2 linked regions of the Tamandua tetradactyla genome follow. The protein of the gene in region 2 purifies or fractionates together with the protein of the main gene of each other region. This does not show direct contact. Links are inferred from orthologs where the notes say so. Each region holds a gene or a part of one and is shown on either strand. Other genes may lie near its edges.

Region 1 (7,431 bases), on a different chromosome or scaffold from region 2:
AACCATCTGATCTTGCTTCTAGAATAAGTAGGGCAACTAGTACAAGTCACCGACGGTACGTTCAGCAAAGGATGGTAATGTAACTATTAACAGCTAAGTCATTTGCTCTGCAATTTACCGTTTACTAAGTTCTTAATATTTAAAAGGTCTCAAACTTGCTTCTGCAGCATTTTGGTATTGAAATTAAGGTACATGCCACTTACAATTGTCTTTTTCAATTTCTCCAACAGAAGTGAAACACATCCCTAACCTGTCTCCCAAAGGAGATAGTGACCTATATGGTCCTTACTTGTGTGCACACCAGAAAGAATTCATCTGGTTAAGCCATTTAGCTGTTCGCACTGAAGAATGTCCCTACTACAGCACTATATGGTTAGCTTAATGGGTAACAAAAGAAAACAAAGTCAGTAGTTCCAGAACTACTTAAGCGTCCTATGCTTTCTAAACGTAAATTGTGAATTAGAATGAACCACTGAAAACAAGTAATTCCAAAAACCTAATTCAGAAATTCAGGAGTACTTAGTGTCTTGTTTAAATTCAAAACACCTACACCTGTTACCTTTCCCAAACTAAGGAATTTAATAAATATAAATCCTCAGAGGAATTTCATTTTATTATGACTGAAACTAAACTGTGGTGCTTAACTGCCAAGATGGCCTAGACAGATTTCCAGCCAACTCAAAGATCTCCAAGACAACAGTTGGGTACCAAATTACTTTATTTGAAGGAATGGTACAAATGAAACAACTTGGTGGGTGTTGATACAACTTAATAGAAAAGGCAAAGGTAAACCCAACATGCATGCACGGCCCTGGTGACCACAGAAGTCACCCCGTGACTCTGGGGAAGACAGCGTAAGGCTTAACTCTCATCATCACTATTTCCCAGGGTGTGCTTGTCAAAGAGATACTCTGCCAAGCCAGAATCCGGGGCCCCCATCTTGTGCAAGTTGGTCACGTAGTCACCCAACTCTTTGATGGATTTCACCTGCTCATTCAGGTAATGTGTCTCAATGAAGTCACACAACTAGAAAAAAATGGGAAACAAAGTTATTGGTAAGCCTTTCCAGCCCCTAAGGCAAATTATTTCTTCCCCCCTTTAGTCCCCAGTTTCCAACACTCACATGGGGGTCATTTTTGTCAGTGGCCAGTTTGTGCAATTCCAGTAGTGACTGATTCACCCTTTTTTCCAAATGTAATGCACACTCCATTGCATTCAGCCCGCTCTCCCAGTCGTCTCGTTCTGGTTTCTGAATGAGATGTGGTTAGGTCAAACATCTGCCACATCCAGTGATTAGCCCATCAACAACAGAGCAGGCACCTAGCTCTAAACGACCAAACTTCTCCAAAAGGGTCATTCAAGCTTCCCTGACACCAGTTTTCAATTTAACATCCTTGCCCATAACTGTTTGCCTACTTTAGTTTAGATGGCAGAAATAAGGCACCAAAAAGACAAAATTAAATGTAACCTCATTTTAAAAGGGAAATCTTCAAGTGATTTGACACCTGAACACTGCTAGCTAATTAGGAGGCCCACATGATGCCTCTAGAATCATTTGTTCACCTTGATATCCTGAAGGAAGATGCGGCCACCTCGTTGGTTCTGCAGCTTCATAAGTTTCTCAGCATGTTCCCTCTCCTCATGAGATTGGTGAAGAAAATATTTGGAAAAGTTCTTCAAAGCCACATCATCACGGTCAAAGTAGTAAGACTGAAAGTATTAAGATGTATATATTAGGCTAGGGATTATCAAAGGAGTAGCTTTAACAGGCTATTAAGTAGCAATGAGTCTGGTAGCCACCGCTTCCCTTTCAAAGCACATCAAGAGGGGACAGTCCCTAAAGAGATGCCGGTCAAGTGTGCTCCTGAATTCTACACCTAAGGGTGATGAGTTGTTACTCTAAAATACAAAACTGAAATTGATTTAGCTTGCTTCTTTGGGGAACCTTTAGAATATCATAGGAATTTACCTTCAACACAACGGATCCTAAAGACTATTGGTGCAGAAGAGAATTTCTTACTGCCAGTACCTTCCTTGCCCTCCCTTCCCAATTACCCCACATTAAAGCATGTGTTCTAAAGAGTTCATAAACTTGTCAGCTGTACAGTAGATTCCTGGATTTTCAAAATTAACCGGCCAGGGAAGATGATGCTTGTGGGCAAATGCTGATGTTAATGTATTACCGTAGAAAACAACATTTTGATTTTTCAGTTTTAGACCCTTGCTGTATTCAAGTGTTCCTTAAACTGAATGGCACACAGAAATCCAGGCCCGTTTCCAATCCCATTTGGTACGTGTCTGTTCTTGGATAACTTGAAATTATGTAAGGCAGTTCTGCTCAATACTCCCACCACAGGGCCTAAAACCAAGACTTGGTAAAACGAGTAAAAACGTGACGATTTATTGCATGGAAACATTTCTTTCCTAGTTAACTGTTGATGGCCTCTTATCAAGAATTAACAGTTCAATTAATGCGCCTCCATAACCCTCCAACCAAGCAGCAAAAGGAAAAAGAACTAAGTCTTGAGCCGCAAGGGCGGGTTAAGTAACTCGGCGAAGGCAGGCGATTCCTAGAGATACGCTTAAATTCAAGTGGGACTTACAGATAAGCACAGCAAAGGGCTGGAGATGGCTGCTCGGGGGGGGGGCCCGCCCACGGGAGATAAACCACTTCCCACCCAGCCCCCAAGGTTGCCACTCGACGCCATACCCTGGGGGATGGGAGCTGAGCTCTTCGCCCCCATTACCCAGAGAAATGGAGGGCCCACACACACGGCTGCAGGCGGAGAAAAGGGCAGAAGAACAACAACAAAAAAAAATCACCTTCCTAACCGCAGGCTTGAATGTACAGTCTGCAAGTCTTGCAAACCCGGGATTTTCAGAACACTTGACTCTCCCCCTCCCTAAAGAGAGGTGCGCAGTGGAGGCTCTAGCCCAGGAGGGAGCGCTCCCTGGGACACCCGGAAGGCACGAAATTGCCCACAATCAGAATTGCTGCGCAATGCATGTCCGGGGTAGACTGGGAGCAGCTTCCATTTTCCCAAGGGCGCGCGGAGGCGGTGGCCACACCCCCGCCCCGCCCAGCAACCCGCGGGGCCCCAGGGAGACCGCGCCCGGCCCCCAACCCAGCCGCGAGCCCGCTCGCCAGGCCTCACCATCGACAGGTAGACGTAAGAGGCGTAGAGCTCCAGGTTGATCTGGCGGTTAATGGCGGCCTCTGAGTCCTGGTTGTAGTTCTGGCGCACCTGCGACGGGGACGTGGTCGTCATGGTGGGCGGTTGAGGAGAGGAGGAGGCGGCGGCTGCGCGGCGCTGGAGAGGTGGCTGAAAGCTGCTCGGAGTGGCCGGCCGACGGGGAGGAGGCGAGCGCCGGGTTCCGTTCAAGCACTGTTGAAGCAGGAAACCACGGCGACTCTCCGCGAAGACGTCTGCGGCGGACGGCTGCTCAGCCCGCGTCTTATATCGGGTAGTCGGCGTCAAGCCCGCCCCGGCCAATCAGAACCGCCCGCTCGCCCCTCTGAGGCCCGCCCCTTCCGGTGGGCGCGCGAGCCCCTCCCATCTGGCTTGGGGGAGGGGCGCCTCCCCCCCCCCCCCCCTCCACCGCGCGCTTAGTGGGCTTGAGGGAAGGCCTGGGGAGGGGCGCCGAGTCTACCACAAAGCCCCGAGCTCGGAGGCCCACGGGGCCGCGGAACTGGTGGGAATCGGCCCCGGGCTCGCAAGTGGTCGGGACGGGGGGTTGGGGGGGATGCTGAGGTACCAAACGGGCACCCCGAGGCTCTTGGCCAAGGACACGCTGTGAACAAAATCCGGGCCTCAGAGAAGCGGTTGCCACGCGCCTCGAGGCGCTTGCCCGGATTCCCAGGGGAAAATGGACGGTGGTTAGAAGCGGGTCCTCGTTGGCCGAGGGCGTCAGAGGCTGGGTTGGGAAAAGGCGCACTTTCCCTTCCCTACGGAGCAGAATGGAGGCGCGGGGCCCGCCGCGGGCGTTCGGATTCGCGCCCGCCCGTCGCCGAGAGCAAACATGGCTCCTCGTGCAGTGTGAGAACAAAGGCCGCGACGGGCGTTGTCCTGGTGCCCTGGAGTCTGAGGCCCGGAGCTGAGCCGCCTGACGTGAGAAATTCGCGGGTGGCTTAAAACTCAAAACACAGAACTCGGGAGTTTAAAAAGAAAGGAGAAGAGACTTAGGCGGCTCGGATCGGCCTCGTAGGCGCCCCATTCGCGGGAGCCTGGGGTCGAGGAGACCCCGCGAGGGGCCGCTCCCCTGGGGTTGTCCTTGAAGAGAAGCTGATGACCCTGAGTGGTGGGGGGACGGGCGCCAGGGACCCTGGAGGGGCTCGTGGGGGGCTCGCAGCTGTGAAGCAGTGTGGGCACGACTTCGTGACTCCCGCCTCCTGCCCTCCTAGCCTCCTGGTTTGGGGGTTCTCTGTTCTCGGCCAGCCCCTTCGATGTGTGTGGAGACCCATTAAAAAACCCTTTTAATGCTCACACACATAAAACTGGAAGCTGGGCTTCCAAAGCGTTGTTTTTTGTTTTGTTTTGTTTTTTCAAGGAACACCATTAAAATATTAAAAGAAGTTTGCTGATGGAAGTATGGCAGTTTCTCCCTCTTGGCGCTTTATTCATTTCAAAATGAACGTAAACTAGTCTCAGGAAGAATTTCTAGTAGGGTCAGAGTTACGAAAAAGTAAGCAGAAGCTGGCTGTGAAATACAGAAGAGGGGTGCCTTACCCGAACAGGGATAGGTCATGCAGGCTTCCGCTACGAAAGTGATACGCGAGTTTGGAGAAGTTAATTAAAAGGAAGGTGAAGTGGGCCAGAGAATTCCAAGCAGGGGGAACAGCATATGTGAATGTATGAAGGTGTGGCAATGCATGGTCTGTCCAGGGAACCTTCAGAAAGGGTGTCAGCCTGGAGAGTAAAGATCATGTTGGAGAATGATGCAAGGGGAATCTAGGGCAAGGTCTGGACAGTTGTGTGCCATAAAAAGGGGTTAAACTTTATCCTGGATTCAACATGGAGATTCTAAGGGATTTCTAACCAGGGAGACACAGCAGTAGTTTGTTTTTAGAGATCTTACAATGGATCAACAGATAATTTATTAGAATAAGACTCCAGTTAAGTCACCGGATGCAAAGCTTTCCTACATAACAGGAACCACCATTTAGAAAATGTGATGAAAGGAAAAAGAAATTCATTTACATTGACAACAAAAGCTTAAAATACCTTGTCATAAAGTGAACAGGGACTGTATGAAAAAAAAACTGTCAACAATTACTGCTAGAAAGGAAAAGACAACTTGCTGCAATGGAGACACCATGTTTCCAAATGGAAAGGTTTCATTTTTTAAAGATGTCGGTTTTCCCCAAATAAACGTATAAATTCAAAGCAATTTCCATAAAACTTCTTGGGACTTGATTCTAAAGTTTATTTGTAAAAAATGTGTAGAATAGCTGACAAACACTTGGGGATAGAAAGCTTTAAAGGTAGATTTGCCCTCCCTGATAACAAAAAAGTACTAAAAGTGCTATAAGCAGTGTTTAATTGAAACAGTGATTAGGTCAGCACAACAAAACAGTCCCACCCACATATTTATGGGAACATGGTACATGATAAAGTGGCATTTCAAATTAGAGGAGAAAGAATGATTTCAGGAAATGATTTTGAAACAATTGGTAGTCATCTGGAAAACAGTGACTCATTCTACTAAAAAATATGGTTCAAAAGAAAAAAAATATGGTCCAGATGGACTAAAATTACAAACGTTAAAGAAAAACCTATTTATACATTTATACCACCTTTAGGTGGTGAGAAAAATATATGGAAGATTATCTTTTATAGTTTTGGGGTAGGGAGTGCTCTTCTGAGGCCTTCTTAAAAGGAAACTTAGCAGATTGACTCCTTAAAAATGAAACACTGGGCAGGCCACGGTGGCTCAACAGGCTGAGTTCTTGCCTGTTATGCTGGAGACCTGAGTTCGAGTGCCCATGCCTGCCCATGCAAAAAAAAAAAAAAAACCCCAGTAAAATTAAAGATGCCACTTGCAAAGTTAAATAGACAAATAACAAGGTGGGTTGACAGTATTTGTAGCTTGTATAAGTCATGACTGTCAATAAGCAAAATATATATATATGTAGTTACATAATGTAATATATATATATAATGTAATTATATATCATATACATATAAATCCCACCTTTTGGTAACCACTCTGATGGTCTCCCCTGCTCCCTGAGGGCAGACACTGTTTCTAACTTCTTCATCGCTGCACTGCCAGGACTTTTGCAAGGTGCTTTGTTAGTCATGCTCAGTATTTGTTGAATGAATGGATGGATGAGTGATTGAGCGTGGAAGATGGATCAAAGTTAGGCGAGAGAGCTAGATACCAGTTGGGAGACAGCAACCCTAACCCTCAGTGTGCAGAGGGGACAGAAAACAGATTGAGAGACATGGGGAAGAAACAATGGACAGGATGAAGTGGCTGATGGGTTAATATGGGGGTGGGCAGACAGCTCCCTAGGTTTCTGGCCCGGACAGCTGGCTTCCTGGTTCCTTTCTCTGAAACAGGGAGCACGGGAAGAAATGGGAGATGGCCAGCTTTGTTTTGGACTGGAGGTGCTGAGTTTGAATAGCCCCCAGGGGGCTTTCCAGAGGGAAAGCGCTAGCATGAAGTTGGAGAGAAATGCGCCTATTTTAGAAAGCAGAATTTATGAATCATTATTGGCTCCATGCTTGGTTAAACACACAGGCAGCTACAGTGAACCTCAGAGCAAAACGGAGGGACGGTTTGTACTGTAGAACGTGGCTTGGGGGCTGGCTAGGCTGGGAAGAATGGAAGGGAAATCTTGTGTGAGTGTGTGTGTACGCGCGTGCGTGCATGCATGCACTTGTGCCGCTTTGCCACCTGGAGGGCCAACTGGGGGGAGGGGTGTCAGAACTGCCATCTCTAAGTCTCTAGATTCTTCCAAAGCTGCAGCCTGGTCTTTGGACCTTTGTTGACCAGGAGCACACACACCCGCCCCTCTGCTTCGCGTGACTTCTAGGAGGCTGGAGTTTGGCTGGTCTCCAAGGCAGCTGCCTCCCGGGGCCAGGAGCCGCGGGAGGGGCTGTAGGGGAGGGGAAAAGGGCCTGGCGGGTTGAATCGGGAGAAAGCTGGCCCGTCCTAGAGCTGGAGGAGGCCAGTGGTGGGGGATGTGGTGGAAATTTGCTGCCCCACCATGACTCAGCACTCTGCTGGTCCTGAGGGATTTGACTTGGGCTCCAAAAGTGCTTTGTCACTAAGGAGGAAGGTGGAGGCCTGGAGGGCTGTGACTTCTCTAAGGTGGGGAGGAGGAAAAGCACCCCCATTTCCTAATGGGGTACACTGGAGGCTGGGCCAGCGAGGAAAAGGATCTGATTTCGGGTTGAGAATTTGTGGGAAAGCAGGGGATGTCTC
Region 2 (8,391 bases):
TCTCTCCATTTGAGAACCCCTTATGGTAAATATTAGCATACTGGAAGGCATTCAGAGCCGATCATTACTGCTCATGGACTTTTCTCAATCTCTAGTTCTAAAGATTTGGGATTTTCTGTTTAGTTTTATGTGACTCAGTGACACAAATCCTCCTCTAGGTGGCAGTCCTACTCTAGCTACCGGTGTATCTTTAGGGACTCTCACAACAAGTGACATGTAGATACTTACTACGTATTTGTTGAATGAATACATAAAATCTTAATATCCAAGTGATTCCTTTAATATGCAGTCTGTGGCTGTGGACTTTAGACTCACAACTGGGACTAAACTTGGCTCCTCCACTTGGAAGCTTATGGCTGCATGTAATATATTTAACCTTGCTAAGCTTCATTTTCTCTATTTTAAAAATGGTGTCCTTAAAGGTTTGTGAGGAGCACATGAGATACTGTGTAAAAGAAAGTCCTGGGCCATAGTTATATGGAAGTCAATACTTACTGAATTCGTTTGTTCAACAAATATATATTGAAAACCCACTATATGATAGTGAACACAAAGATGAGGTGTCTGTCCCTGTAGAACTTACCTTCCAGTGTATTTTCTGAAGGGGAGTCAGAAAATAAAGTTTCTGTATGTCCGATCGTGATAAGTAGGATGCAGAAAACTAAAGCACATTAAGGGGGTGGAGGGAAGAATTATTTTAAAGAGGATGGTCAGGAAAGACCTCACTGAGCACATGACCATTGAGCAGACACCTGAAGGAAGGAGAGCCATGAGGATATCTGGAAGAACATGCAAGGGTTATGAGGGCAGAGCATCCTTGGCCTGCTGGAGGAGCAGCAATGAGGCTAGACTGAGTGAGCAAAGAGAGGAGGGTAGGGGTGGTTGGCTGTCCTGAGGTTTCTGCAGGAATCTGGGCTGGAGAAGGTGGGGGCTTACGAAATGGACAAACTACAAAATCAAAGGTCTTCTTTCCTTATTATTATGCTTTTTCTCTGACAAAATGTCATAAAAATGGCAATGTAGCTCTCACTATGTGCCAAGCATTAGTCAAAGTGCATTGCATACATTAATCTTTGGCAATTTAAAAAAAAATTTGGAAGGAAGGCATGACATTATTCAAGACGTACAGCTGAATGAATATGCCCCCGTTGGGATCGGACTTCTGCAGCATTATCGAACCGCCTCTGGATACTTATAGGTTAGCTCGTGAAAGGCAAATCTGAGATGACTGTAATCAGTACCAGCCAATGTGCATCCTGCAGTGAAGTTCAGTTTTCTGAGAGAGCTGTCAGTGTCTATGGCATTTTTAGTGCTCTTCTTGCTATGTTTTAGCCCTCTTAAAATGTTTGTCGCAGGTTTTCATTTGGGCTTTGTTTTATCATAGATAGATGTACATACATTGCTTCAATATGTAACTCAAGTGAAAAACATGGAACTCAAGTGAACAGTGTGGTCACCTGGGTTGGAGTGAGGGGCTGGGTGACCGCTTTTGCTCTCTAAAGAGCTTTTTGTGTCTTTGCTTGTCAGTTAGAGCATGTCATCTTTGATTGTTAAATCATAACATCACGGTCATGATTTATAAGCTTACCTGCAACCCTGCAATACCTCATATCCGTACACATCACAGGTATTTTCTGAATTAGGCCCACTGGCAAGTGAATGAAAAGTTGTTTCATGGGTGCTCCTTTTACTCCTGACGTGAATGATTCATTCTTATCCCAAGTTGTCCTCCCTGATTTGGCTTGGCTTCATTATGCGGTGGAGTCAAGGTGTCCTGCTGGTGGAACTAGAATTGTGTTTGGGCACTTTTTGTTTTGGATGCTTTATGGTCGGGGGGTCACATTTCGTTCTTTTTCCATGTGACTATCTTGCTTTTTTGGAGGGTGGGGGTAGTACACAGGCTGGGAATTGAACCCTGGTCTCCTGCATGGCAGGCAAGAATTCTACCAGTGAACTACCCTTGCACCCCCACCGTGCTTGCAACTCCAGGGTACTTAGGAGGTCTCTTTTTCCCAGCATTGCCCTCCGCACCCTATTAGGTTAAAAGCTTTGTGCTTGTTTGACTTGTCAGTTTAGTCATAGTTCTTAGACAATTGCAGATTTCATGAGAACATAAGCATGTGTATATTTTGGGGTCTATTTTGACATTATTGCTAGCACCTCAAGCTTTAGAAGAGGAGAGTAACACGAGATGTTTACTCTGTAAAAGCAGGGATAAAATGGTGGTGGTGTTCTGATGGTAGATAAGTAACATGTTTTCCTACCCTTGCTTAAGTTATGGTCACACATTTAAAGTTGAAGATAGGGCAAAGCCCCAGTTCTGAAAGCCTACTAAACTCCTGTTGACATTAGGTGGAATTTCTGTGATACTGCAAAGTCTGAGAAAAAAATACAAAGTTAAATAAGAAATAATTTTCTCTTTAACTCACAAACCTCCTGGTGCTTGTTCATCTGTGAGGTTAAGCTTCAGGCCTGGTATCAGGGAGGACATTTTATCCTAGGGCTTAGCCTAAGATCATGACCCCATGGGCAATGTACTTGTCAGCTTTGTCTTGCCTGAAAGAAAACTAAAAGTAATAGCTGTGTTTTAAGGCTAGAAAGCTTTATCTCCTCTGAAAACCCTTCCAGAGTTAATGCAGGCCTTAGCGAGACATCAAGTTGGTTATGTTTAAGCAGAATCAAGCCCCGCTATTGGATGGTCTGAAAATGTTTAGGAAACTTATTCTCAAGCAGTATTGTACAACTCCAGGGACACCATTCTCTTGATGTCATTCATTGAGGTGCATAGAATGTGAGTGGGATTGCATAATGCCACGGTAGTGATACCAGGCTGTCCCTTCAGCATTACGGTCTACAAAGGCAAATAAGTCACTATATCTTCTCTCAGGGAGTTCCCAATCTCAGAACACAGGCATGTAGCATAAGGGCAACACATGTTACCTGTGTCATGTGGAAAGCCTGTTCAAGTTACAGTGGGCACAGGAGGCAGTGGCCATCTCTGTTGAAGAGTGCCATGTTTGGTCAGGAAGGGCTCTGTTCACTTGAACAGAGTCTACAAATGTACCAGTGTGAAGAAGTGGGGGGACTGGCACTGCTGGCAGAAAGAGCTGGGAGAGTAAGCCTGGACTAGGCGTGGAACAGTGTCCAGCAGGTCAGGGTGTGGCATCTGCACTGAGGAGACCGCAGGAGAGTCAGGGTGATTTGGCCTTTCTCCCACAGGCAGTGGGGGAGTCTCTGGAGATGTTAAAGTTCATGCTCTCTTTAAAAGATCTACTAGGAATGGATGGTTCTGTTGTTTTGAGATAGCATAGAAAATCTTGAGGCAGAAGGGAGAAAAAATGCTTTGTCAATATTTCCCCTTCAGGACCTAAACATTTTTTAAAGACACAAGGGAAATATGCTTAATGGAGTGAAAAAAACCCTGCAAAATGGCCTGAGTGTAGAATTCTTCTAGATTTCTCTCTCCAGTTTTTTATTATGTTATGCAATATTTAATGAAATCACTTCTTTGTAGTAACGAAGTTGGCATAAACTGGCCAGAGAACAAACACGTCGGAACTTGATAATTTTGTAACTCAGTGGGCACATCGGTGGAGGAGTAGCAGGAGCCTCCAGTGTGAGGGAGCCTTGGTCAGAATCCTTTAGAGGGAGTAGAGGCCGCTGGTTAAATAGTGATGGCCAGTAAAGTGTCTCCTGTATTTATATTGTGACCACTTCACAGGGGCACATAAAAGAGATGAGAAGTTCTTGACTGAACAGATGAAGAATTCCTTCTCTGTAGCCATTGACAAAGTGCAGAGGACTGTGAATTTTTTAACGTTCATCATTCAGAAAGATGCTGAATTTTCTTTGTATATTCATCCAATGAGGGTAATTTGAATTAGGGAAAAATTGTTTTCTCAATATTTTTGGTAATGGATGTCTGAAATGGGATCTCCGAAACTGTGTGCAGGAGTGCCCCCAAATACTGTTCTCTTGAAATCGAAGGCCTCCTTCATTGAGGCTATGTGTGTGGTCCCCTTTGCTTTTGTCACATGGTTTTGCTTTACTCTTTACCTTCCCCCCCCCCCCAAAAAAGCTCCATGCATAGACAAGAGCAAGCCTTTACATTCAAAAGACTATAGACTGGGAATGACAGTGCTGTCCAGATTTCCTCTTTTGCCCTGATTCAGGATATAAAAAAGGATTGTCTTCGGAAAAAAGGATATTGGTCTAGAAGTACCAGAAGCAGGTAGTGTTACGTTGGGTTCATTATTGTCCCCATTTTACAGATAGGGAAACTGAGGCACGGGGTGGTTAACTGACTGATGGAAGGTTATACCTCGCATCAGTGGCAGAGCCAGGTATTGTACCCACACTGTCTGGCTGCAGAGTCCATCCTCTTAGCCGCTATCTACTGCCTTTGCTGGTAGGAACTCCCAGGTTCACTACCGTATTCCCAGCCCCGAGAGTAGATTGTCTGGCTCAGGCACTGTTTATTGTAGAACAGAAGTTTTGGACAGAGGGAGAAGAAGAGAATATGAATGTGGCAGAGACAGAGGCGTGTCACAAATGTGAGGGGACGCCAGGGAGGCAGAAACAGGCCGGGGGCTGAACCTCTGCTGGGCTGACGGAGGTAGGGAGTTAGGAAGGAACATTTCAGTAATACTCAACTGCCCAGCACCTCCACGTTTGTTATTTCTTTGTAGTGACTAGCCTCAAAACCTTAAAACAGAGAAGTCTTGAAGATTTGGACGGGGAAGGAATAAAGGAAGCCAAGGGTCTGAAGGGGAGACGCGAGATGGTTCTCTGCCACGCTGGCCCGGCTGCAGGGAGGGCGTGGATGCCTTCGGAAGCCCTGGCGCTGGGGGCGGGCGCTTGACGGCGGGGCGAGGCGGGGCGCGGCCGGTTGGCTCTGGGCAGCTTCAGTGCCGAGGCCGGGGATAAAAGGGCCACCTGCTCGCTGGCCTGTTCGCGCGGCGGAGACCGGCCTGCGAGGTTCGTCGCGGCAGTCCCGCGGGTGCGTCGCGGCCAGCTAGTCTTCCTGGGTCGGCGCGCGCAGGAGCAGAGGCCCGGGCTGCGCGCATGCGTGCTGCGCGGCGCCCCGGCCTTCAGCCGCAAGTGAAGGGCGGTTGGGTTGGAGGCTGCGGAAAGTGCGTGGAAGTTAATGTGGAAACCTAGAAAGCTGCATGAATCACTGTTGCTTTTGAAATAGAAGAGCTTTACTTGTCACTCCATGCTAAAATTTTGTAGTCAGTTTTCAGTTTACTGGTTCGAAAAGTTGATATACTGGGATTACTTGCTCCCATAAGTCAGTTACACGTATAAAAGATAAATCCGAGCTCATTATGCTCTGAAGTATTAAAAACCTTAAAATATGCTCTAGCGAATTCAAATTATTACCTTATTTTAATTAGCTTTAGACATTAACGTTTGTTTGAGTGGTTTTAAAAACAGTTATGCAGAACTAGTTTCTGAATTTCAGAAACTACTTGTCTTGATAAAGAATTTGAAAGTGGGCTAGGGTAACCATGTGTAACATGGTTTAATGAATTTGAATTTAATCAAAATTAATGAATTTTGATATAAAAAACGATCTTTTTTTTTTAACCGACAAGAAGAAGAAACTCTTGGCGTAAAGAAGAAATGTCCCAAGGTAAAATTAAACGCATACTATCAATTACTGTTTTATGATTGTTTTAATGAAAGTTTGTACAAAATCTTATGTAGGTTGCCTTATCCAAGGTAATGTAATTGGTCGTTAAGTATTTGGAATTTACTAATGCATAGGACAAATGTATTCTGTACATAGTTTCTTGAGGGCTTGGCCTTCTAGCAGCAGAGTCAGGAAAATAGATGAAAAGTGGGCATCGATTATTTTGGGGGGAAGGAGGGAGGGTGGGAAGGTAGATAAAGAATGTGAGAACTGGAAGGCGCAGTTAAAGTGATCTAGTCTAAGGTGAGCTAATCTTAATGGAAGTTTTTTAGGTAGTAGACCATTGAAATGATACCTTGAAACTTATTGGCAAATAAAATGAACTCATGGGTGATAATACACCAAGAAAAGAATAGGTGTGGTAGGGAGAGAATCCAGGACTAGACCTCAGGAACCTTAGTTCAAAATCCAGATACCCTTTTAGATGGTAGATTTGATGGTGAGACTTTAGATGGGTCATTTAACCTATCCTAGCCTTTGTGTCTTCATCTGTAAAGTTAGGGTGGTGTACTAAGCAGATTTCCAAGGTGTTTTCCAACTTTAAATTGTGGTTTATGTGTCACAAGAGAGTTTTATAGCTCTTTGGAAATTTTATGGTTAAGCCATATGATAATGACTTAGGTTCATTTGTGGTTAGTTGTTCATGATCTTAGGATTTCATAACAAGATTTGTGCAAGTATGGCTTGTACAGTTCGTACAATTTTTTTTGAGGAAGGTTCCAGGTTCTGTTATTTGAGGGTTGTGTGTGTCTCTAGCTGCTTCTGCTGTGCCCTGCCCTCTCTCCTCCCCTCCAAAACCCTGGGATCTTAGTGCCAGGGAAGATTTAGAAAGCGCTTAAACTTTTAACTTTGTCTCAAAAATAAAAATTTAAAGTGATCCTCATTTGAAGATGGTAGGACAGGAATTTGGACAATAATAGTAAATATTAATTTTGAAATTAGGACTGATTTGGTCCAATCTTTCTACAGGCAAAACTGCGTACTTTGAATGTATTGTAAGGTGTAAATTTATGAGTTTTTGTTGTAAAAACGGTTTGCTTTTTGCCACATCGTATAGTGAAAGACCAGACAGGGCTGTTTATTAAGCAAGTACTAGCTCTGTACCCACAAGCCTATGAAACAGATATTGTTTTCCTTACTTATGAATTAGAAAGTTAAGTTCAAGAAGGGCAAGTGGTCCAGAGTCATGGCACTGATAAATGGCTAAAGGAGTCTTAGTTAGGGCCTTCTCACCTCAAAGCCTATTCCAGTTTCGGTGCTGATTTCTGAACTCTAAAGGTGAAGGTTCCTGAGGTGCCCCTCACTCAGCTACACCTAATAATAATAATAACAACGAGAGTAATGGGGAGCTTATAGTGTGCAGCGGCTGGGGTGAGGGCTTATAGGTAATGTTTAACTTTAACTACAGTGCAGCCCTTTCTCTTCATTGTTCCAGAGGGGAAATCAAGGCTTGGAGAGGTTAAATAAGTATAGCTCATGGGTCTCAGGCTTGCAGATGCATCCTGGAACATCCTGTCACACCTCAGAGTGATCTCCTAACCTTCACACTTGCTGCACTACACTGGCTCTCTAACGAATGGCAAATTGCTGCAAATGACCAACTCTTACTGCATATGCCATTTCATAAAGTGGGCTCATGATTCAACTCAGGATTTTAGTTCATCCTTGTAGTGTGGTTCTTGATTTCAGCTTTGAAAGGCTTCCTTTTCGCCATAATATGAACTGGCAAGCACTAAAGTTTCCTTCTTGGGGGCTGGGTTGTTGAAGCCGAAGCCCCTAGATTGTCCCACAGGAAGGAGGAGGGACAAAGCCAAGGCAGCAGAAGGGCAAATTTTCTGGGACTGACTATAAAGAAATGAGACAGGTTTTCCTAGTGGCTGACAGATGGACTCTATAGACCCTTACATATAAGAGGTGTTCCAGCAAGATGCCTGTTTTGAGGGATGATGCTCATTTGAGCTTGAAGCGTGATAGAAATATGTGTGTGTGTGTGTAGCAGTGGGGAATCAGTTTTGCAACTTTAATCTTGTCCTGTAGTCTGCCCATAGGTGGTAAGAGGAAAATCCAGTGGTGTGTTCTTGCCATATTTTACTCTTATTCAGAGTTGTATAGTACTTGGGATTTCACTGAGAATTCTTGATTTAGGCACCTAGTAATACAGTCAGCAGTGTATGCATTTGAATTTGTCTCCTGAATCATCCAGAGCTCTGAGATCTTTGACACTGCAAATCATTTTGGGGAAACACTGAGATAATAAAATTTTAAGGGAAGTTAGAAAGTTTTCTTTCCTACAGGAATGCCATAGTTCCTGGATGTGAATCTTTTGCTGCGATGATCAAAAGTAAGCTTGTTGTTGAAGTGTACTTTGGAAATCATTGCTTTTTCTTTCTTTTCTTTGTATATATGTTATATTTAACAATGAAATAATGTTTACAGAATAAAAAAGATGACAGATAACAAAAATAACAAAACATGCCCTCATCAATAAAAACCAGAAAGATTAAAAAAAAAAAAAAGTACGTATTTTGGGCTTCTCCTTTCCACTGTTTTATTTTTGAGGGTGGGGCTCACACTGCTTTTGTCCCCATCCAGCTCTCCGCTAGCCCCCCTGGCCCCTACATTGAGGTTGGAGGGTGTAGTCAAGGCCAGACAAAGTTGCGCTTTGTCTCAAACAGGCAGACACACACTGGGTAAGC

The links.
Region 1: the proteins of NCOA4 (region 2) and FTH1 purify together in Homo sapiens (co-immunoprecipitation; 6 studies listed by BioGRID and IntAct, counting the BioPlex papers as one, with this or other methods). This does not show direct contact. The link is inferred for Tamandua tetradactyla from reciprocal best matches to the Homo sapiens genes NCOA4 and FTH1.

What each region holds. Positions count from the first base shown.
Region 1 is NC_135335.1:12,987,244-12,994,674, reverse strand, and holds FTH1 (ferritin heavy chain), read right to left. Parts: upstream 3,461-7,431; 5' UTR 3,270-3,460; coding exon 3,156-3,269; intron 1,711-3,155; coding exon 1,564-1,710; intron 1,250-1,563; coding exon 1,124-1,249; intron 1,027-1,123; coding exon 862-1,026; 3' UTR 701-861; downstream 1-700. UniProt on the Homo sapiens protein: Stores iron in a soluble, non-toxic, readily available form. Important for iron homeostasis. Has ferroxidase activity. Iron is taken up in the ferrous form and deposited as ferric hydroxides after oxidation. Also plays a role in delivery of iron to cells.
Region 2 is NC_135339.1:5,604,686-5,613,076, forward strand, and holds the start of NCOA4 (nuclear receptor coactivator 4), read left to right. Parts: upstream 1-5,052; 5' UTR 5,053-5,064; coding exon 5,065-5,132; intron 5,133-5,597; coding exon 5,598-5,635; intron 5,636-7,989; exon of another isoform or gene 7,990-8,026; coding exon of another isoform or gene 8,027-8,036; intron 8,037-8,391. UniProt on the Homo sapiens protein: Cargo receptor for the autophagic turnover of the iron-binding ferritin complex, playing a central role in iron homeostasis. Acts as an adapter for delivery of ferritin to lysosomes and autophagic degradation of ferritin, a process named ferritinophagy.